Caenorhabditis elegans: one gene and its partners. The protein of the gene in region 1 purifies or fractionates together with the protein of each later gene. This does not show direct contact. Each region holds a gene or a part of one and is shown in the gene's direction. Other genes may lie near its edges. The genes, in order: prde-1, tofu-4, tofu-5 and npp-9.

Evidence for each region.
Region 2: the proteins of prde-1 (region 1) and tofu-4 purify together in Caenorhabditis elegans (affinity purification with mass spectrometry, with the first as the bait; one study listed by BioGRID). This does not show direct contact.
Region 3: the proteins of prde-1 (region 1) and tofu-5 fractionate together in Caenorhabditis elegans (co-fractionation; one study listed by BioGRID). This does not show direct contact.
Region 4: the proteins of prde-1 (region 1) and npp-9 purify together in Caenorhabditis elegans (affinity purification with mass spectrometry, with the first as the bait; one study listed by BioGRID). This does not show direct contact.

What each region holds. Positions count from the first base shown.
Region 1 is NC_003283.11:15,536,233-15,541,939, forward strand, and holds the start of prde-1 (piRNA biogenesis factor prde-1), read left to right. Parts: upstream 1-2,011; 5' UTR 2,012-2,025; coding exon 2,026-2,205; intron 2,206-2,275; coding exon 2,276-2,641; intron 2,642-3,634; coding exon 3,635-3,975; intron 3,976-5,088; coding exon 5,089-5,212; intron 5,213-5,262; coding exon 5,263-5,379; intron 5,380-5,707. Other genes in the region: F21A3.4 (Trichohyalin-like), read left to right, coding at 434-484, 539-769, 1,265-1,417, 1,470-1,754. UniProt on the Caenorhabditis elegans protein: Nuclear factor required for the production of piwi-interacting RNA (piRNA) precursors. Specifically required for piRNAs produced from loci associated with the Ruby motif. Promotes binding of the transcription factor snpc-4 at piRNA genomic clusters.
Region 2 is NC_003279.8:4,823,867-4,828,504, reverse strand, and holds tofu-4 (Twenty One u-rna (21U-RNA) biogenesis Fouled Up), read left to right. Parts: upstream 1-1,865; 5' UTR 1,866-1,871; coding exon 1,872-2,171; intron 2,172-2,216; coding exon 2,217-2,390; intron 2,391-2,438; coding exon 2,439-2,546; intron 2,547-2,590; coding exon 2,591-2,823; intron 2,824-2,867; coding exon 2,868-2,984; intron 2,985-3,029; coding exon 3,030-3,336; 3' UTR 3,337-3,601; downstream 3,602-4,638. Other genes in the region: htp-3 (HORMA domain-containing protein), read right to left, coding at 1-239, 284-468, 516-609, 659-810, 856-968, 1,013-1,116, 1,166-1,319, 1,370-1,426; F57C9.6 (G-protein coupled receptors family 1 profile domain-containing protein), read right to left, coding at 3,694-3,778, 4,482-4,622.
Region 3 is NC_003279.8:7,066,642-7,071,165, forward strand, and holds tofu-5 (Twenty One u-rna (21U-RNA) biogenesis Fouled Up), read left to right. Parts: upstream 1-2,798; 5' UTR 2,799-2,800; coding exon 2,801-2,902; intron 2,903-2,950; coding exon 2,951-3,105; intron 3,106-3,154; coding exon 3,155-3,380; intron 3,381-3,427; coding exon 3,428-3,605; intron 3,606-3,670; coding exon 3,671-3,945; 3' UTR 3,946-4,024; downstream 4,025-4,524. Other genes in the region: cutl-6 (ZP domain-containing protein), read left to right, coding at 1-57, 445-832, 883-972, 1,043-1,258; nuo-6 (NADH dehydrogenase [ubiquinone] 1 beta subcomplex subunit 4), read right to left, coding at 1,595-1,943, 2,291-2,360, 2,435-2,534; W01A8.6 (Peptidase M14 domain-containing protein), read right to left, coding at 4,115-4,293, 4,346-4,520.
Region 4 is NC_003281.10:3,399,650-3,406,467, reverse strand, and holds npp-9 (Nuclear Pore complex Protein), read left to right. Parts: upstream 1-2,191; 5' UTR 2,192-2,204; coding exon 2,205-2,222; intron 2,223-2,271; coding exon 2,272-2,364; intron 2,365-2,409; coding exon 2,410-2,835; intron 2,836-2,888; coding exon 2,889-3,386; intron 3,387-3,490; coding exon 3,491-3,951; intron 3,952-4,000; coding exon 4,001-4,898; intron 4,899-5,158; coding exon 5,159-5,302; intron 5,303-5,360; coding exon 5,361-5,477; 3' UTR 5,478-5,824; downstream 5,825-6,818. Other genes in the region: golg-4 (GRIP domain-containing protein), read right to left, coding at 633-734, 779-892; F59A2.5 (L antigen family member 3), read right to left, coding at 1,059-1,218, 1,267-1,395, 1,507-1,589; Protein clpf-1, read right to left, coding at 5,890-6,000, 6,062-6,328.

The sequences.
Region 1 (5,707 bases):
GAACATCTTGGGAATTTGAAATTCGAAAAAATGCACGTGGCCGAGTTATCCCTTGTCGCGGCCACACATCGCCCCAAAATTGAGGACGATTTCTTTCAAATGCTCCTTAAAATGAGCCAACTCAAGAACGAAGTCAATGACGTGGTACTAATGTCGGTTTATTTTGTCGAATTTTTTTCGGATGAGAGGCATGACTCATAGGAGCAGAGCCAGAATTTTTCCAAAAAAAAACTTCTCCTCGGGGAGTACACGGATCAGAGAGCTTGAAAATCAAGTTTTATACTTTTATTAAATCAATTAATTACCAGCGTGAACATTCAAAATTTTGATTTTAAAATATTCCATAGAATTCAAATTTCTCGTGGCAAATGTGGAACCTATTCGACATTTGAATTTATTTCCGAATATTTTTCTCCGAAAAATCAATCGATAAATGGATATCAAAGTGATTCGCGAGAAGTTGACCCTGACAACGTCGATTACGGTGGGTTCCGCGCGAAATTTCTATTCGGAAAAAGTTCAAGTGATTTTTTTTCAGAGCGAATCGGTCGCCGAATACGAGCACGATGTCGACGAATGTTGTCGCCTTCTGGAGCACAAGCTCGAGCTGGAAATGGAGAAGAAGCTGCAACTGAGCAATCGGATCGATGTCGTTCAGTCGCAGGTCACCGAACTTTGGGATCGCGTGGATAAGGCGAGACGTCGCGAATCGGACATCTCGTGTCGCGTCACCGCCTGGGCTCAGCATTTGTCGGAGATGATGAATGAGGTATTACATAGTCGTCAAAAAATTATGTGGGTCTCACCACGCTGTGAACGAGGTACTGTAACTCGTGTCGATTTACGGGCACTAACCTATAAAAAGAACCACTAAATTTTGAGAATGGGTATTGCGCAACGTATCTGACGCGCAAAATATCCCGTAGCGAAAACTACAGTAATTCGTTAAATGACTACTGTAGCGCTGGTCCGATTCTGAAAATCAAAAAAAACTTCCGAATTTTCCGAGAAATGTTTCCGAAAATAAAAAAAAGCCCGTAAATCGACATCCGTGCTACAGTAGTCATTTAAAGAATTACTGTAGTTTTCGCTACGAGATACTTTGCCCGTCAGATATGTTGCATAATACGCATTCTCAGCATTTAGTGTTTTTGTAATAGCGACCCGTGAATTATCACAATGAAAAGTAACCTTTTGTCCGCGTGACGAGACCATGCGCGTAAGATATGGCGAAAACTAATATTATATGCAATTTTTTGTTCAGGTGAAGCTGAAAAAGGCTAAGATGGGCACAACGATGGAAATATCCGCGACACTTTCTGCTGAAATTCAAGAAAGTCTGGATTTACTCGCGGAAAAGCGAGTGATTGTTCAGAGAATGCGGGAGGAAATCGACTATCGTCGCCACTTGCACAAGGTTTTTATTAATAAATCTGAAAATGTTTAAAGCAATATTGAAACATTTTCAGCAACAACTCAAAGATTTGAAGCTGGATTGTGACAGAGAGGAGGAGAAATGCGAATATTGGAATGATAAAAGCGCTGAAATCGAAAAAGTTGTGGAAATGCTCAAAGAGCAACGCAAATCGCTTGGCGAACGTGTTGAAGAGGAGAAACGAATGGAGCAGGAGCAGAAGAAGATGCTGGAAGAGCTTGAAATGTTGTTGAAGAAAACTGGGAAGAAACGGCAGATTTTAGATGAAAACGCCAATTTGGTGGCTTCTTTCTCCAGTTTGACCGAGGAAAGCTCTTAATTTTTATGTTTTTTTCTTCAAAAGCATTTTTTTTGTGTGTTTTTTCCTCAAAATAAATCATTTTTAATTGTTTTAAAACATGTTTTTGAAATTAATCGTCAATAACGAAAGTTGCGTCAGCTACCACTGCTAGCGCGTTTCTCGTGTTGCTTGCGCTTTTCTCGATGGCAGCGAATTTTAAATTTAAATATTTAAATTTTCGTTTTTCCTGCCTAAATTTACTTGTTTTTCACCATTTTTCTTGTGAGTTTATCAACTTTTCAGGTAAAAAATGAACAGAAATCGCAAAGGACACGATTTAGAAAACATTGAGCATCGATTCACCGATGAGGACTTGGCAGGTCTGAAGGAGCAAAAGCTTTTTAATGGTAAATGGATTATTTTGGAGAAAAAGGAGAAACGAGGAGCCGCGTATTGTTATCTTGTGTGTGACAAGCCGTGCAAGAAATTTGTGAGTTATTAAAAAAAATTAAATTTAAAAAAAAAAAAAGTAAAAAAAAAATTATTATTCGAATTTTCAGGGGATTCTTTACTTGGAAATCGGCGAGGACAACGTGACAACCATCGCGAATCAAGTAGATTTCTATCATCAGCAATCGTCACTTGGCTATTCTCATCGATTTTCCGCTTTAATTGATGCCGGAATCATAAATAATCACGTCTTCTTCATGGTCGTCAGAATCCGTGCAGGACCCACTTTACATGATCTTTTAAAATGTCTGAGCAGTGATAAAATGTCCGTAACTACTGCCAGTTTCCTCGCTGTCGACATGATTTCTGCTATCGAAATTCTGTCAGCTTCCGGATGGGTTTTGAGAAATTTCGACTCGAAACAATGGATGTTGGATATCAAAACGAGGCAGTTTTATTTGGCCGATGCTACTGATGTACGGACTATGTTTCCGCTTTTAAAATAACAATTTCCACTAAAAAATTGCAAGAAAAATCGCGATTTTCAGCAACTTTTCACCTAGAAAACGCATTTTTTCGGAATTACACGAAAAAACCAATTTTCTTAAAAATTCACCTAAAAAATCTCGATTTCCAGCATTTTTTCACCTGAAAAGCGTATTTTCTTGGAATTGTACAAAAATCGCCGATTTTTAGCAATGTTTTCACATAAAAAACTTAATTTTTTGGATTTATACAACAAGAAACCCCGATTTTCAGTAATTTTCCTGAAATTCGCCCGAAAAATCTAAATTTTCAGCAATTTTCACCGAAAAAGCGTATTTTCTTCGTATTATACAAAAATCTGTGATTTTTAGCAATGTTTTCACATAAAAAACGTATTTTCTCGGTAAATCCACAAAAAACCAATTTTCAGTTATTTTTCTTGAAATTTGCCCGAAAAATCTCAATTTCCAGCAATTTTTACCTAATGGGGTTATTCAAGTAGTGTCGGAAAATTAAAAAGTGTAGAAAAATTACGTCACAACCTTATTCAAGTAGATAAAAACATGTATTTAAATACATTTGTGACGTCACAAATGTATTTAAATACATTTTGCTACATTACTTGAATAACCCCATAAAAATTTGAAATTTTTGGGAAAAATGAATAAAAGTCCCAGAATCGTCTGAAAATCAACATTGTTGGTTTCAAAAACTCCGCAAAACAGCGAGTTTCTTTAGAAAAATTATTAAAAACATATACTTCGTCAAAAAAAAACAATTTCTACTGAAAAAAACTAAAAATCGCAATTTTCAGTCGAAATTCGAGTTTATTTTTTCGATTTTATTTTTTTATTAATCAAATTTTTGATTTCTTGGAAGAAATTTCGGTTTCAGACTCTTAAAATAAACAATTTATGCATTTAAAACCCCAGATTCTCGTTAAAAATCGATTTTTCTCATACTAAAATTCCAAAAATTTGCAGATCACCGTCTCCTCTGACAAACGTCACCGTGCCATCGACGAGATTCATCTCAGAACAGCCGAATCTATAGATTTGCATTGGAAAACCGGAGATTTGATCTACGCGCCGCGCTCTTTTGTCGATCGAGATCAATCTCATCGAATGACTGAATTGGATATGATGGAAATGATGCTCTATGTGCTCTACGATTGGACACATGGAAAATTGCCGTGGAAATCGTCGAAATCCAGAGAAAGAATTATGGAAATGAAGGAATTGTTCATTGAAAATTTGCAAAAAGAGCCGGAAGAAACGAATAAAGTCGAGCAGCAAATTGATGTTGATGTTTGGTTCGATATCGCGTATGGATTTTGGAAAATTTAGCAAAAAAATGAGATTTTCATGGAAATTCATCCAAAAAATCGGGATTTTCAGTGATTTTTCTTCCTTTAAGAATGATTTTTGCTAATTACATTTTTAAAAAATCACGATTTTTAGCTATTTTTCATTTAAAAAATCATTTTCTTGCTAATTATTCAAAAAATTCAAATTTTCAGTGATTTTTCACCAAAAAAAGTAGAAAAAAGTAGATTTCTTGCAATTTACACAAAAAATCTCGATTGATAGCAATTTTCACCTAAACACAAAACAAATAATTATCCCAAAAATCCAGAATTTTAGCATTTTTCCTAAATACTAAAAATCATTTTTCTTGCAATTTTTATAAAAAATCGTCTTCTAATTTTTTTCACTCAAAAAATAAAATATTTTCCTGAAATTATCCCGAAAAGCCCCGATTTTCAGCTATTTTTCATCGAAAAAAAATCTAATTTTTATGAAAATTCACCCAAAAAACCCCGATTTTCAGCGATTTTTCACAAAAAAAGAATACAATTTTCTTCAAAATAACCCGAAAGGTTTCAATTTTCAGCATTTTTTTATGGAAAAAAACTAATTCACCCTTTTTTTTTTCACGAAAAATCAATTTTTTTAGAAATTCACCCAAAAATCCAGATTTTCAGCATTTGTTCTTCTAAAAAATATTTTTCTTGCAATTTACATAAAAAATCACTTTTTTTAAAAGCAATTTTTCACTTAAAAAAATAAAAATTTATTGTAAACCAGCCGTGGACCGCACCTTCGGCGCAGCCCCCGACTTCTGGGGCTGAAAACTAATTTTTCTGAAACTACCGTAATCATACAGTACTCCTACCGTACCACTATTGTACCACTACAGTACCCCGACTATATCCCTACACTAAGCCCAACTCACTATCCTCCAGAAGCCAAAACGTCACAGAATACAAAGACTACATAGACTACAAACTATGGACAAACGGAATAAGCGCTTTATATATAGTAAATGATTACCTGAAATATTTAGATTTTAAGCAATTTTTCCGAAAAATTGAATTTTCCTGCAGCATTTTCCATTTTAGCAGTTTTTTTTTAACGGTAAAAATGTCAATTTTCAGACTCCGAAACTTTGCAAAACATCTGAAAGTGGCAAAAGAAGAGCAAGAAAAGCTTGAAAAACTGCCGGTTCGTGGTGGAGCATGGTGTCCAAAGGGTCCACGTGCTGGAGCACAAATTTCGACTGTAAATCGATATTTTCTGGAATTTTTGAGCTAAAATTTCGTATTTTTCAGGTGAATTATCGTGGAATCATTGACGATTTCTACAAAATTGTGTGCAGCGGACGACCGGCTTGGGCTCTTCATTGGCGGGATGTAATGCTCGATTGGGACCGGAAACTGGAGAATACGGTACGATTTGGGATTCAATTTTTTGCGGAAAATTGGCCAAATTAGCGAGAATTGCCAAAAATGGATTTTTTGAGAGAAAAAAATAGTTTTTTTTCGTTTAAAATTGAATTTTTCACAAAAATGTAATTTTTTTTGTTGAAAAATTGAGAAAAAAAACTTTCCGTGAAAATGTCCAATTATTCATGAAAAATTGAGTTTTTCATATAAAATTGAACTTTTTGTAAAAAAAATTGAATTTTTTATGAAAAAAAAATTATTTGTCATCGGAAAAATAAATTTTTTTTTTGTTGGAAAATTTACTTTTTAGTGAAATATTTGAAAAAAAAAC
Region 2 (4,638 bases), on another chromosome or scaffold:
CTCCACGGGAGAAGCCGGTTCCGTTGGAGTTATCGGGACAGCGGGAGCTCTCGTTGAACGTTTCTTTGCAGCTTTCACTATTGGAGAACGTTCCCTTTCAACAACCATTGGAACTTCATCATTATCAGCAATCAATACATTATATTCGGACTGCAGAACCATCATTTCACTGGCCATACTTGGATTACAACGAATTGATTCGTTTGCCACATCTTCGTCCATACGTACTTCTTGACGACCTATAAACATTAGAAAATTAATTTTTTTTCTCGACAAAACGCACCTGGTGAAAAATAGATTTCGTCAAGTTCAGGATTCTCAGCACAATTCATTGTGTTATCTCGAACAACTTCGATCGGTGTGATCGTTGAGTTGAGCAAATCATCTTCAAAATGAGAAACTTCCACTGGTGGACGAATGGCTGAAGGCTGTTCAACCATGAATTTCGAGGCATATGCGAATTGAAATCTGAATCAATTTAATTAAGAATTTGATGATTGAAATGACGAACAAACCCATTGCCGTGAGGAAAACTAACAGCACCAAGATTGATCTGCTCAGGATTCACAAAATCGTCGACTTGTTGAAATCCGGGAACGAATTCCGGTTCTAAAACAATAATTTATTTATGATTTAAATTAAATATTTTTAACCTTACCTCCTCTGTATGCTACTTTCATCGATGGAATGAGGCCTCTTGGTAGCGGACGGAGCAGGCTTAGAACATTTCTAAGCTCGCTGAACATCTTGCAAAACTGTTGAGCAGTATCATCCATGTTTAAATAATTCACCACAAATTTAGATTTACGCCTGGAAAAGAGTCAGTGAAATTTATATTTAGATAAATGATCTAACCCTCCGTATCCGATTTCGGCACTTGCAGATGTGGTTGAGTCATAGACAAAGGTCCAGACAAACGTTTCCACGGGATTCGTGTTTAGTGACTCTTCAACGACAATAGCGAGTTTCTGCAAACAATGAATTTTTACCACTTACGAGAGTAAAACTGTACCTGAAGGAGTTTCTGACGGATCGCGTCATGAGACGCCAAAAGCTTCGAAGACACACTCCGTCCTTCTGGAATGTCTTGTCGCAAAGTATATCCGCTGACATCTCCTATAAAATAATTCATGCTTAATTGCAAGTCAGATAGATAAAACCTCACCATAAACTTGAAAATCCTGGAAGTATTCCGCAGGAATAACTTTCCGTTCACGGAGAATTGTTGAGTTTGCAAGATAAACGCAGTTGGCCATCACTTCAAGAGAGCTTTTCGAATTTTCATCACCATTTTTCAATGTTTGCTCGTTGAATATAGCCTGAAAATTTTCGTTTTCTCGACAAAAAAAACTCTGTCAAATCTACTCACCCTGTCATCACTCGTCAGAGAGCCAGGGACAACAGAAGAGTCGAAGCTTTCGTCCATTTTGACACTTAAAATATTTTAAAACATTTTTTTTAATTAAAAACTAATTGAAAATGAGAAAAAACTGAAAAATAAATGAATAATTTGACATAAAATAACTAATTTCAACCGAAGTTTACCGTAACTCAGGTCAACATGTTGTGTTCTCGTGTCGAGACCCATGGAAGAAATGTCATGCACCTTTAAGTTTTTTCTTTTATATTTCAATTTTTTTCCGTTCATTTTCTACTTAAAATGCACTTTCAAGAGAATTTCTCATATTTTGAAGTTTTAAAATTGTAGTTTATTAAAATCTGAGCATATCTCTATGTATTTTGAGTCTAGAAACCGCTTTGAAATGTGCAAAGAACAGATGAAAGCACTTAAAATTTAAATAAACGTTTTTTACTTATTCATTTATTGTGTTTTTAAGCTTCTATATTTAATAATGAGACATTAATTTCAGATGAAACCGACGACGAGAAGCGCATCAAAAAGAGCAAATGCGGAATCTTCGGGAGTGAACCAGCCCGAGAAGAAATCACGAATTCCTGAAACAGAAATTGTAGAGGATCCGTTGGAGATCGAAGTACCGCCCGCATCGGCAGATGGCACTGACAACAAGAGTTTTTCAGAAAATGAATACGACGATGATCACAGTAGCAGCAGCGACGAGGAGAGTGATGATGAATACGTTGTGGAGACTCACAAGAGTTCGATGGTGGATGCTGCAGAAAGTTCCGAAGGCGAGCGACCGGATGAACGCGTATGCTGCCTTTTAAAAAATTTTTATCGATTTAACTTCTTTAAGATTGTCCGAGAATTAGAGCAGAAAATTGCTCGTGGGTTGAAGAACGACAGGATTCTCAAAAAGAAAAAGAAAGCGTTAGATGGGGAAGTCTCAGACACTGAAGACGTGGTTTGTGAGTACGAACCACAAGCGATGCCGAAGCAACGAAGAAGGCGACTGTATAGAAGAAAAATGGTGGGATTTTAATGCTAGTTGTTGAAATTTAGAAATGATTTCTTGCAGACCAGACCTCAAGGAGTCCCTAAAAGACGTCGCATCAAGAGACCGGACCTGGAACTTGCAGATGATTACACCTGTGACACTTTTGCTGAGCAAGGATTGACTCTGAAGGTGTGTAAGAATTTATAATTTAAATATTTGCAATAATTTTTCAGTCTTTGACAAGTGACATCAAACAAGACGATCCTGAAGTCGATTGGAAAGCAATGAGAAGGATGGGTATCGGAATCAGATCAACAAAAAGAGACGAAATCAATTCCGATGAGGATGAAGCGGATATTATTTCGCATTCATTTTCTTTCTACCAAACAAGAAACTCTAAAGAGCAAGTGGCACAGGCCGTCGAACTAAATATGAACCCTTTTTCGGAGAAGATCGCGAGCTACAAGTAATTGTTAAGAGAAATATCATGAATAAATATTATGTTTTCAGTGCTCCAAAGTCCGTTCATGGATACAGTCGATCTTCAATTCAAAATCAACATTCAGGATTTATTGACAAGAACGACATCAAATATCCGGACGAATTATTATGGCAGGAACCATTTACGTGAGTATTTTAAAACCATATATATTGATTAAGAATATTTTTCAGCCATCTCGTCTTCTTCCAATCCACATTCAATGCTCACGAGTCTTCCATCAAGTTCCTGAATAATGTCGCAAATTCAAAAAAGCAGGAAAGAGACTCCAAACTGATGAAGGAAATTCGCGAAAGGATTAAGCAGAAATCGCTCGGACATGTAGATGTTCCAATCGACTACACAAACGTGGAAAGTACATCGGAGCAGCCGTCGACTATTGATCAGTACAGCCTTCCTGACCTGACTAGTCAATGCGACGAGGGAACCATAAAGGAGGAAGAAGACTTCGACTATCTGATGGTAGACGCAGAATTCTAAAAGAATTTTTATCCGAGTCACATTATTGTTTTAATTATTCTCTGTTTGTTTCAAATTTTAGAGCATCTAGCTGTTGTTTGAGAATCTCAAATCTCAAATTTATTTATATCGTGAGAATATAATCTATCGTTTTTTCCCGTATTTGACCAAACATTTTCTGTAATATTTAGCTTTTTCGCAATCGTTCGACACTTTATATACGTTCTTTGTTTCTTTTCTAGTAAGATGTTTTTTTTTTTAATAAAACTTTTTTTAAATTTTGAAAATCAAGTTTCATAGAAAAATAGCGATGAGATTCTTGGGAGCGACCAGAAAAATTTGATACAAAACATTAATGGAGATGGAAGAAATAAGTTATTAAATATCAGTCGGTTGACTGTGACGCTTGAATACATCCGTTGTCAAGATCGGATCGGTTTTTGTTAGGCAGGGGAAAATAGTTCTGAAAAATTGAAGATTTAACTTCTTCAGTGGTTTCATTGCATTTTTAGTTATTACGGAAACACAAAGTTCTGAGAAACGCGCAACATATTTGAAGCGCAAAATATCTCGTCGCGAAAACTACAGTAATTCTTTAAATGACTACTGTAGTGATTGTGCCGATTTACGGGCCCGAGTTTTGAAATAAATTATTTATAGATATTGAAATTGAGCAAAAAATCAAAAAAACTAATGATACGAAAAAACTAATTGTAAAGAAAGTTGAAATCGCTGTCACAATTCGAACAGAAATTCATTTCGAAATTCGAGCCCATAAATCGACACAAGCACTACAGTAATAATTTAGAGAATTACTGTAGTTTTTGCTACGAGATATTTTGCGCAATACGCATTCTCAGAATTTTGTGTTCTCGTTATGTCGCGACATGTCGTGTATTTATTCACATGCCTTCTTAAAGGCGCATATGTTTCTTCAGATGGGTCTCGACCCGCAAAAGTTTATGGTGGTTTTTTTTAAATTTTCGCCGCTGTCTTCCTTGCATTTTCGATGAAATTATTACATATATAGCGAATTTTGTCATTTTTCTGTTAAAAATTAAAAGAGCCGCAAAAAGCCTACCATAAACTTTTGCGCGCCGAGACCCATTTGAATTAATCCGTGCGCCTTCAAGTAGGCATGTCAAAATCTTGTGAAATTACGATACCTTTTCAGAATATTTCTAAATTCCCGCATTCTCATGAAACAAAGTGGCTGAAGAAGTGAATGAAATGAGATGAACAAATAACACGTGTATTTTGTGAAAATGTATCCACTTCTGGCATGAACTGGAATTCCTTTGCTTCTGCTGAAAAAAATGAATT
Region 3 (4,524 bases), on another chromosome or scaffold:
TGTTAAATGTTTCTATATGGAACCAGATGAGATTGTTACTCAGAATATTGATGTTAGGTAGGTAATCGTTTATTTTAATATGCCTCATTTCAACTATTGCGTTCAATAATTATTTTTCAGTTTTTCATTTTGAGTGCAACACTGATAGGAACTGCAAGTTTAATTTTAAATCAGTAATATGTATTAAGAAAAAGATACTGAAGTTTTAACATTTTATTTCAATAATTTTACATTGAGATTCTATACTTTTCAGTGTTTAGTATTTGAGGGTGAAAAATCTTTGAACTCACCAGATAAGATTATCGGAAACTCTTAAATTTTTTTTTCAAGTCTATGTTCTTGCAAATTGCCAAATTGAACTTTTTGCGTATTTCGGAGCATTGATGATATTTGAATTTTCAAACACAAATAATTAAAAAAATAATCAAAAAAATTAATTTTCAGTATGATCCCAACGACTGAACTATCTGACAGTATGGTAATGCCAAAATGCGAGTATTCAGTTCGTCGTGATGGTCCAAATGGTCCAACTTTAACATATGCCAATGTCGGAGATATTGTATTTCATGTATGGGAATGTACACCGGCTGATATGGGAATGCTTGTCAAAAAGTGTTTTGTAACAGATGGAGACGGAGAAGATCATGCTGTTGTTGACTTTGATGGCTGTGCAACTGATCCATTCTTGCTCAGTGAGCTGTCTTACGATGCTTCACTTATGCGAGCTCATGCATCAAGTCAAGTTTTCAAATATGCAGACTCAAATCAATTATATTTCACTTGTCAGATAAGATTGTGTCAGAAACAAATGGGAATGTGCCAGGAAGTTACGGTAATAGAGTTCGAAGATTGTTGAAGCAAATACTTATTTTTGATTTTCAGCCACCAAACTGTGGAGTCAAGAAATTGCTGAGTGAAGCAAGTGGTGATGGAAATCGAACAAAAAGAGAAGCTGATCGGTCTGATTATGAGGTAATCATAGATTGTTTCCGGATTATATATTTTTTTAATCCTCCTAACATGAAAACAATAAAATATTTAGATCGACGTAGCAACATCAGAACTTCTTGTACTTGATCCAGCAGATCGTGGGCTCCTTGCTCCTTCTCCATTCTGTGTTCCACGACTACTTCTTCCAGTTCTTCCCCTTATTCTTATCACAATTGTATCATTAACAGTTGTCTCCACAGCACTAGTGATTCGAAGACAAAATCACAAAAAAGAGCTCGATATAATGCAGTCAGGCAGATATTATTGATTTTCACATTATTATATTATTTTATAAATTACACGTCCCGATTGTACGGTTTCAGCTCCCATTTTTCTCTTAAAAATTCCCTTGAACTCTCTCGAAAGTCAGGCACAAATTTCTCATTCTTTTTCTCTGTGATGTCTGTTCCACACATATTTTTACGGAATCTAATTCATCAGGCATCAATGTTATTTTATATAAATTTACGAGTGTTTACATTAATAAAATCTGAATTTTATTTGACGAGGATAACGACACAGCTAAAAAAAAACAAAAATCGAGAAAAAGTTGCTTACATTCGGATCTAAAAGTAAATTTAAGAAAACAGATAGATCGAGACGATTAGAAGTCGATTCCGATGGTTGGAGCAAAGAGACCGGATCCTCCGGTTTGTAGAGTTCTTCCTTGTTGACGATCCCACCAAAGAAGCTTTCCATCCAAACATGCTTCATTCGACTTGTCCATTGGGACAAACATAAGACGAGTGTAAATGTAGAAGAGAGCGAAAACGGTTCCGACGTACAGGAATACGGTGCGTGGTGTGAAACGGAAGAACTCGGCTTGAGTCATATCAGCAGAATACCAACGGAACATTGCTGGATCCATGGTGACTCCCTCCTTGTACTTGAAGCTATGAGGATCGTATTCACGACGGAGATATTCCTTCTTCAAAATCTCCTTGACACGATATCTGAAAGTAATTTTTTAAAAATAAAATGTAGTTTTTTTATCATAAAGTTGGATATTAAAAACTGAATTTATGTTAATTCAGTGTTTAATATCCAATTTTATCGCAACAGTTTTTTTAAAGCAATTTTTGATTTGATACTCTGTAAATTATATCAAGAAACTGTTTTTTTTTGTCTCTATTGCTAATAAATCACTTGAAATAAGTGTTCATCAACGCAAATGTTATCATATATTGATTTTTCAATAGAATTAAATAATTTTAAATTGAGAATATAATTAAAACTATGTTTCTCACTGTTTTTAGAATTTTTTTAAAAACTTTTAAGCAAAAAGCGTTTTTCGTATTACCTCCACAAAACTGCTTTCTTCTCCTCGTCGCTCAGATTGTATTCATGTCCTGGCAGAAATTCGGTCTTTCCTATACAGAACAATTATTATTTTACAAGTTAACAGTAAATTATGAAAAATAAATCGATAAAATAAAAGTTTTACCGTGAGTCTCAAAATATCCAAGCACTGGATCCTGCCACAGTTTCGGAGATTTAATATTTTGGTTGGCAGCTGGTCGAAGAAGTCTTAATGCCAACTTCATTTTGGTTCAACCTGGAATTAAAATATTAATAAACAAAATCGGAAAACAAGACGGAAATTAAGAAAAATAAAATAAAAAGTTCTGAACAACTGGTTCAAACGACACTCCGATATTTCGCAACAGCGCCTTGTTTATCGTAAATCTACATCACATTTCAAAGCGAAAGGAATTTTCCTCAATTCAATTTTCTTCAATTCTTTCCTAAATCGAGGCCATAATTATTTTTTTTCGCACATTAAACTTAACTTAAAACTCAAATTTTAGCCATGGAAACCGACGGCGATCCCACAAATGAAATTCCCGGTAGCTCTATGGCTTTTGAAGTCGCAAACCATACTGTAACCGAAGAACCATCACCACTGGACAGAGTCAGTTTTCTAATAAAATAAACTATTTAAAAATGTAAAATTTTGTAGATTCTCGCAGAAGGTCGCAGCTTCAATGGTGGCAATTGGTCCAGTGACGACTTGAGAAGTTTATTGGATGGAGTGATGAAGTATGGTACCAAAATTGAAGCCATAAACTATATTCACCGAAACATTGTAAAAAAACGATCTATCGAAGAGATAAAGTAAGTTTTTAAAATATATGTTCAACATTTAATCATTATTCTTTTTCAGGGCGAAAATTGACGAGATTCGAGAGATTATCAAGGAACACAAAGAGATTATTCTCCCTGAGTGTTACAAAAATAAATGGATCGAAGCAGGACATCATAATATCACTCCTCCACCATTTTGCCAAGTGGATCCAAATGACGACTGGAGCAGTATCATGGGAAAAATAGTCGATCATCATCATGGATCAATCAACAAGACCCTACCTTCTCTTAGAGATACTTATGAGGTTTTATATTTTATTAGTCAGCAATTGAAAAATGCTCAAATTTTCAGACACTCTTCGAGAATCTCGCTCTAGAATCTAAAACTCACGAAAATGCGGTGGTGACCAAACTTCTCACCGCAAAAGCTACAAGAACTGACTCTCAAAATATAAGATGGCCAGTCATTTACAGATTCATGAAAGCATGTGCCACATTGGAAGAGCAAATGCCAGCGCTCAATGAACTTGGTCAGTAAACCCAGAATAATTCTAACTCTGAGGGAACTTAACCAGCGCTACAGTTTTATTTTCAGAAGCGGCAGTTGTCTCCAAAGTACTAGACACTATCGAAACCGAAGCTACGACAACTCCAGATACTGAGAAATCTATTCTTGCCGGTATTTTCAGTGAATGTCAACAAGGCAATTACCGCTTCTGTGAGCAAGACTATCCTCCGAACGTTATGGCGGCAGTTCAACTGTTCGTGGATCCACTCCGTACCCGTTTTCATGCGATCCCTGAAGTTGCATCTGAAGTCGAATTAATCAACTTTACGAAGGACAACCAGCCATCTACATCGTCCAATTGAAATTTTTATTAATTTTTTGTTATATCCTGTCATATCATCCGGTCGTTTCACTGGTATTTAATACATTGTTATTAAGTTTATTGATTTCAAGTCTAACAAAGACAAAAATGGTAGAAACCCGCTTCTTGACAAGTTCGTCGTCGTCCAAAGACACGTGTTGATTTGTTTGTTATAGCTGTCTGAATCGAGGAGATCTACTGTCTGCTGATGTTCCGTTTGTAGTTGGTTCAGTCGGTTGAAAGTTCTTGGTTTCCTCAACTACCTGATCGAATATTACTTCAATTCCAAGCCATGTCTCTTTTCCAATTGGAATAAGCCAATGTGGTTTGACTTGGAATGCGAACCAAGCTGAAATTGAATGTTATTCTAGTTTTCATGGAAGATCTAAACGAATTCTTACTTTTCATATCAGGTGGCAATTCCAGTACATAGACATATTTTGTCGGAGTATTCTTTTTAATCCAATCAGTTGCTCCTCCAGTTGCTGTTCCAAGCATATCTGCTGCAGTTCCAACTCGATATTTTGTCTCCCGATAAGCGAAAACGCGATCAGCTGCTCTGTTTGCCAGAATTTCCTGA
Region 4 (6,818 bases), on another chromosome or scaffold:
TTTTTCAGAAAAAAATTATAAACATAATTTTATTTAAAAAAATTTAATTTTCGTATCAATTTTCTACATTTTTTAATTTTCGATATTCTCTGAATTTTTAAAATTCTTTTTTAAGAGAAACAGGATTTCCTCTTTTTTAAATTTTTCGACAAAAAAAGTCATTTTCGATCATTTTCGTAAAAATGTGACCATTTTCAACGAAATCTCTGATTTTTAATGGTTTTTCCCAATGAAAAAAAAAATATTTTTTGGTATTTTTTGAGTTTTCTTGTAAAAAACATGGAAAACATACAAAAATGTGATTTAGATGCGGAAAAAATATATTTTTTTTGCAATTAAATTGATGCAAAACTTCGAAAAAATGGCGAAAAATTTTAATAAAACCTTAAAATTCGTACATTTTAACGGTCTCACAGCTGCTGGAAATAGATTTTTATTTAAAAATCTCTTTGTTTCGCATATTTCTGCTGTTTTTGGTACATTTTTTGGATTCCGAACTAAATCTCACAAGAAATTGTTTTTCAACAGTAAAAATCCATTTTTCCGGAAATTTTCACGAAAATGGTTGGAAAATAATAGTTTTTCGACGATAAATTCAATTTTTCGAGAATTTTTCATGTTAAAACTCTCACAATAGAGGTATTTGCTGGATTTTCAGCTTTAGTTTCTCCTGATTCTCCGGTGAATCTTTTAGAAATCGACGCGGATGCATCACTGCCAGCAGGCTGCTCATTCTGCAATTTTATCGATTTTTTCTCAGTTTTCAGTGGATTTTTACCATCGCCTGCCGATATTGTCCAACTTGAGCGGCGAGTTGTTCTCCATACTGCTGAGCTGATTGTTTAAGCTTTCCGGCTTCATTATCCAGCCGGTTTTTCAGGTTTTTGAACATTTAAACCTGAAAAAATCGATTTTTTAGTGGGGAATTTGCAATAAAATCGAAAAAAAAAGTATTTTAAAGGTTAAAAACCATATTTTTAAGAAGAAAAAATCATGAAAAGTTGAAAAAAATTCATTTCAAAAAACAAAAACAGAAAAAATAACAAATTTTAATCAAATTAAGCCTGAGATCCGTTTGAGAGTTTTCTTTTCAATCCGTTTTCCTTCGATTTTCCCAGATTTTCACAAAGTTTGATAGTTTTCACGGACAAATCGATCATATCAACAGCGTTGGCAATGGATTTTGACAATGATTTCGGATCTTTTGATTCGATTTTTCTGAAAATTAACTTATTTATTTAGTTATTCGAATAGAAAAACTATTACATGACTACAAATTCGCCTTCGCTGCACACTTCCCGTCGAGCACCACTTCTTCTCGGCTCTTTATCGATTTTTATGACATCTGCCACGGTTCGAGCCGCTTCTTCTGTTCCGACGGATAATCGTACGCTTCTGGAATTAATCGGATTAGAAACTGCTGTTAGAACTTCAGAAAATGTTAATTTTGAAACAAAAACATTTAAAAAACAGTTTGTTTTTTGTGTTTTTTAGCGAAAAACTCACGCTGAGTGGATATATGCCGTGCTCGGAGAGCTTGGGTCACATTCGTCCTCTGAAGATGACGATGAGCTTGTGTCTACTTCCATTTTGTTGTTGTAATCACTAAAAAACACAATTTTGAAAGTTTCTGATGAAAAATCAATAAATTCGCTGAGAAAAGTGAATAATAAATGCTATTCCAGGCAAAATTGACATTTCAAAAACCGAAAAAGCCATAAAAAACGACGGAAAATATCAAAAATCCTGTTTTTCGCCTGAAAAACCGGTATTTTCCATGAATAATTGCCAACTCATGGTTAAAGGCGCGCGTGTCGATTTACGCAACGGGTCTCGCCACGGCGCAGGAATTTGAACTTTTTTCGAAATTTGCGAAGCTTGGCGCCCAATTTCTATTTATTTTAGACTGTTTCGCCATAGTTTTTCCGTATTTTTACGAAAAATAGCTGGAAAACATTTTTTGTGCGTTTAAAAGCATATTTTATACAGAAAAGACTAGTTTTAAAGGTAGGAAAGCCCTATTTTAAGCAGGGAAAGCGTTGGCGCGAAATTTCGAAATTCAAATCCCTGGCGCGAATTCTTTGAAGTATTGCTGCTAATTTTCAACTAAAGAGACCGCAGTATTCGTCTTTTTATCTCGCTTTAGCTTGAAGTCTCTTGAATTGTTTACCTGATATTTTTCATATTTCAGCTCTCCTTTCGCAATGAGCGATCAGAAGCCGGTAAGTGAATCTTTTCGAATGTTGCTCAACATGATTCACGGTATTTCAGAATATGGGGCGCATTGTCGCCAGCGTCGTGGATGTGCAGCAGTTGATGACAATGCAGTTTGACTCGCTTATCAAAAGCATGGACTCGTTGAAGGTATGCGATTCATGAAAAACTCAATTTAATACTTATTTTTCACAGATTGAGCACCAGACCGGCGTCACCCAGCTTCGCGATGATATTCGTCGATCCGAGGATCGGTTTCAGAAGCAGTTGTCCGATTTGAGCACTAATCACGGAAAAGAGCTCGAGAGACTTCATCAAATTATACACACTCTTCTTGCTCGTGATGCGAATCCTCTCGGCTCAATGATTCCTCCACAGCAGCTTCAGCAACAACAGCAAATGTTGATTCTTCAGCGACAAATGGAGATGGCTCATGTGCAGGCAGCACAAGCTCAAGCTCATGCTCACGCTCAAGCTCAAGCCCAAGCACAGGCCCAAAGCCAAGTTATGGCTAATTTGCTCAATGCTGCGAAGCCAGCTATTCCCGTTACACAGCCACTGGTCGCCACTACAGCACAAGCAAAATCGACAGTTCCAGCTTCTGGAGTTATTGCACCAAAGGTAACAAATTTTCGGGTTTTAGTTCCAGCAATTAAAAATTCAATATTTTTCAGACATCTCCACCAGAAGTTGTAATTCCACCTGCTAAGCCAACATTCTCTACTCCAACGCCTGCAGTTGTTCCAAAGCCAGCCACCACCGGATTCTCATTCGGCGGGACCAATCCAGCTACTTCAATCTTCGGTAAAAAGCCTGAAACTGCTTCCCCAGTCGTGGTTCCAGCAGCTAAAGATGATGAAGACGAAGAACATGATGAGGATTACGAGCCAGAGGGCGAGTTCAAGCCAGTCATTCCACTGCCAGATCTTGTCGAGGTGAAAACTGGAGAAGAAGGAGAGCAAACCATGTTCTGCAATCGTTCAAAACTCTACATTTATGCCAACGAGACGAAGGAATGGAAGGAGCGAGGAACCGGCGAGCTGAAGGTTCTCTACAACAAGGACAAGAAGTCGTGGAGAGTTGTTATGCGACGAGACCAGGTGACCATTTCGGAGGAGACACTCCCTTCAAATATTGAGAATGGAACCGAAGAATTGTGTTGGAATATTCAGGTTATTCCAATTACAGCTTTTTTCACATTTTTCGGCGTTTTCCTCAACAGAAAGATCTTAATTTAAATTTAAATACCTTAATTTAGCATTAAAATAAATTACAGGTTCTCAAAGTCTGTGCCAATTTCCCAATTCTCGGCTCGATGACCATTCAACAAATGAAATCCAACGAGAAGGCCTACACATGGTTCTGCGAGGACTTTTCCGAAGATCAGCCAGCTCACGTGAAGCTTTCCGCTCGTTTCGCTAACGTCGATATCGCTGGAGAGTTTAAGACTTTGTTCGAGAAGGCTGTCGCTGAGGCAAAATCATCGAGCAACGCTGGAAAGACCATCGACAAGGAAATCAAGCCGGCGGCTGAGGTGAAGAAGGAAGTCAAGCAAGAAGTTGTGATTCCATCAAACAACAAACCGGAAGAGACTGGATTTGGAGATCAGTTCAAGCCAAAACCAGGATCTTGGGAATGCCCTGGATGCTATGTTACTTGCAAAGCTGACGAGATTGAATGTGCCTGTTGTGGGACATCGAAAGACGGATCTGTCAAAGAGAAAAATATATTCTCTAAGTAAATATTCTATTTGAGTTATCTTAAAATTAAAAATTTAAATTTGCAGACCTTCGATCCTCCAGCCTGCCCCAGGAACTCCAAAAGTGACATTCGGATTCGGAGCATCTGCTCCAGCCAAGGAACCTCTTGCTCAAACATCTCAGTTCGGTGGATCACTCAGCGGATCTCCAAGCACTAGCAGTAGCATTTTCGGTGGTGGAACACCAAAGGGAACAAGCGTTTTCGGTGGAGGTGCTGCTAATACTCCAACTTTCTCATTCAACAAGCCAGCTGCCGCTGTCAATGCAACTACCCCATCGTTCAATTTCAACAATCCTGCAGCTTCAACTGCTTCTCCGGCAACCTCTACGACTCCAGGAAATTCATTGTTCGGAGGTGGACTCTCCAAGACTGAATCTACAGCTTCTTCAACTACTACTCCGTCGTTTATGTTCGCCAAGAATTCTGAAAGTGCCTTCCCAAAGCCAACTTTCTCATTCGGAAAGCAACAGACTCCATCAACGACTGCACCAGCTAAACAAGAAGAAAATAAACAGTCCGAGACGCCAAAATCCGTGTTCGGTAGTGGATTCACGTCTGGAGGTGCAACATTCGCTGCCCTTTCAGCCAACTCTGCCAAATCTGGCTCCATTTTCGACGCAGCAAATGTCAAGAAGGCCCAAGAAGAACTTGCTGCTCAGAAGAAGGCAAGCATTTTCGGGAGCAAGAACACCACGTTGAACACGACTTCTGCAACTTCACACGATGGTGATGAGACGAATGAGGATGGAGATGGGGAGTATGAGCCAGAAGTCGAGTTTAAGCCAGTTATTCCTCTTCCGGATTTGGTTGAGGTGAAAACTGGTGAAGAGGACGAGGAGGTCATGTTCTCCGCCAGATGCAAGCTTTATAAGTACTATTCGGATCTCAAGGAGAATAAGGAACGTGGACTCGGAGATATTAAGGTCAGATTTAGGATTTTATATCAAAATGAGCCAGCTTGGCATGTTCTTTTGATAGTTTTCATTAAAATTTAGTGATAAAACGTAGAAAATAACTTATTTCAGTTGAAACAGTTAAGAAAAGTGCTAGTTTTGCGCACTTTTCAACTGTTTTGCAAGTATTTTCTATGTTTTTTCACTAAATTTTAATGAAAACTATTAAGAAAACAACTGATTTTTGACTCATAGAGGCTAAATTTGAGAAAAATAATTTATTATTTCAGCTCCTGAAAAGCAATGACAACAAATATCGAATCGTGATGCGTCGTGAGCAAGTCCATAAGCTCTGTGCCAATTTCCGTATCGAAAAGTCGATGAAGCTCAGTCCGAAGCCAAACTTGCCAAATGTGCTCACATTTATGTGCCAGGTAGCAATTTTTAATTTCTTTTTATATAAAAATGTACTATAAATTCCTTATTTTTCAGGACTTCTCAGAAGACGCCTCCAACGCTGATCCAGCCATCTTCACCGCCAAATTCAAGGACGAGGCGACCGCCGGAGCATTCAAGACGGCTGTTCAGGATGCTCAATCGAAGATGTAATCCTCTGCTGATTATTTAAATTATTTTATTATTGTTATTCCTCCCCACCCAGCACTCTGTGTTAGTATTCCCCACCACCAATTTTATTTATGAACCTAGTTTTATTCATCCCCATCTGCTGTCATCTATAGTCCTTTAAGTGTAGTTTATATTTGTCTGGTAAGGTTTTTAAAAAAATAATTTCCTTATTTCCCCCCCATCTCTCTCAAAATCCCATTGTTCTCATAAGTACCCCCCACACACTATCATTCATAATTTTTGTCTTTAAAACTTAACTATATTGTTCACATTGTCCCGGCATCGATTTTTCCCCACTGGTGACAATCCAATAAATTGTGAATGCATTGAAGAATGAGATTTATTTTGAGGGCGGGAAACAAATAAATAGGGATTAGGAAAAAAAAGAAATAAATTATCGTTTTATTTGATCATCAAGATGGGTGATATCTGAGAAGACGAGAACTTTCGATGGAATTGTACGCTGTGGGCAGAGAATTGACATTGTTCGCTTCTCCAAATCAACCTGAAATTTGGATAAAATTGAAATTTCCGTTCGAGACCCAAAAACTCGACGAAATACCAACCTCCGTGACAAGACAAAATCCAAAAACCGGCGATTTCAGCACATTTTCGTCGGCTTTCGTGCTCCGCGAGAACGCGAACAAATGATGTTTAATGTCGGCACTGGGCTCCATGATAACCAGCTTTGTCTCATGATTTTCAACTTCCATTCCGAATGGTAGACATGAATCGGGCAGTTGCTCGGCTCCGATTTTACAAAGAGTGACGTCATCGAAGCTGACGTCAAATGTGAATGGGTAGAGATTGTTGGCACGGGTTCCGTAGAAATACTGCAAAAAAAAAGTTTTTTCTTAACAAGTTAGGCTTTAAAACACTGAAAAACCAAAAAAAAGAAAAAACCCGCAAGTGCGGTAGGGTTGCGGAAAAACCGTGTCAGACAAATAAGTCCCGCCCCCTCAAATAATAATTTTTCGAATATTTAAGCTCTAAAGCCAGTTTTACTCGAATTTCTAGACCATAAAATACAGAATTCTTTGGAAATGTTTTATTTTTAGAAAAAAAATGCCTGAAAGGCCCAGGGACAATATTTTCGTGAAGAAAATTAATTTTTCAGCTCAAAAATTCAAATATATATATTTTTCCGATTAAATCAAATGTTTTCCAATAGAAAATAGACAAAAAATACAGAAAACTTGTCAAAATCACTCAAAAACTGCAAAAAATTTCATAGAGCGGAGCCTTTTAGCACGTGCGGCAGGGCTGCGGAAAAACCGTTCCAGGCTTGCAAATAAGCTCCGCCCCTTCAATTTATATTCATTT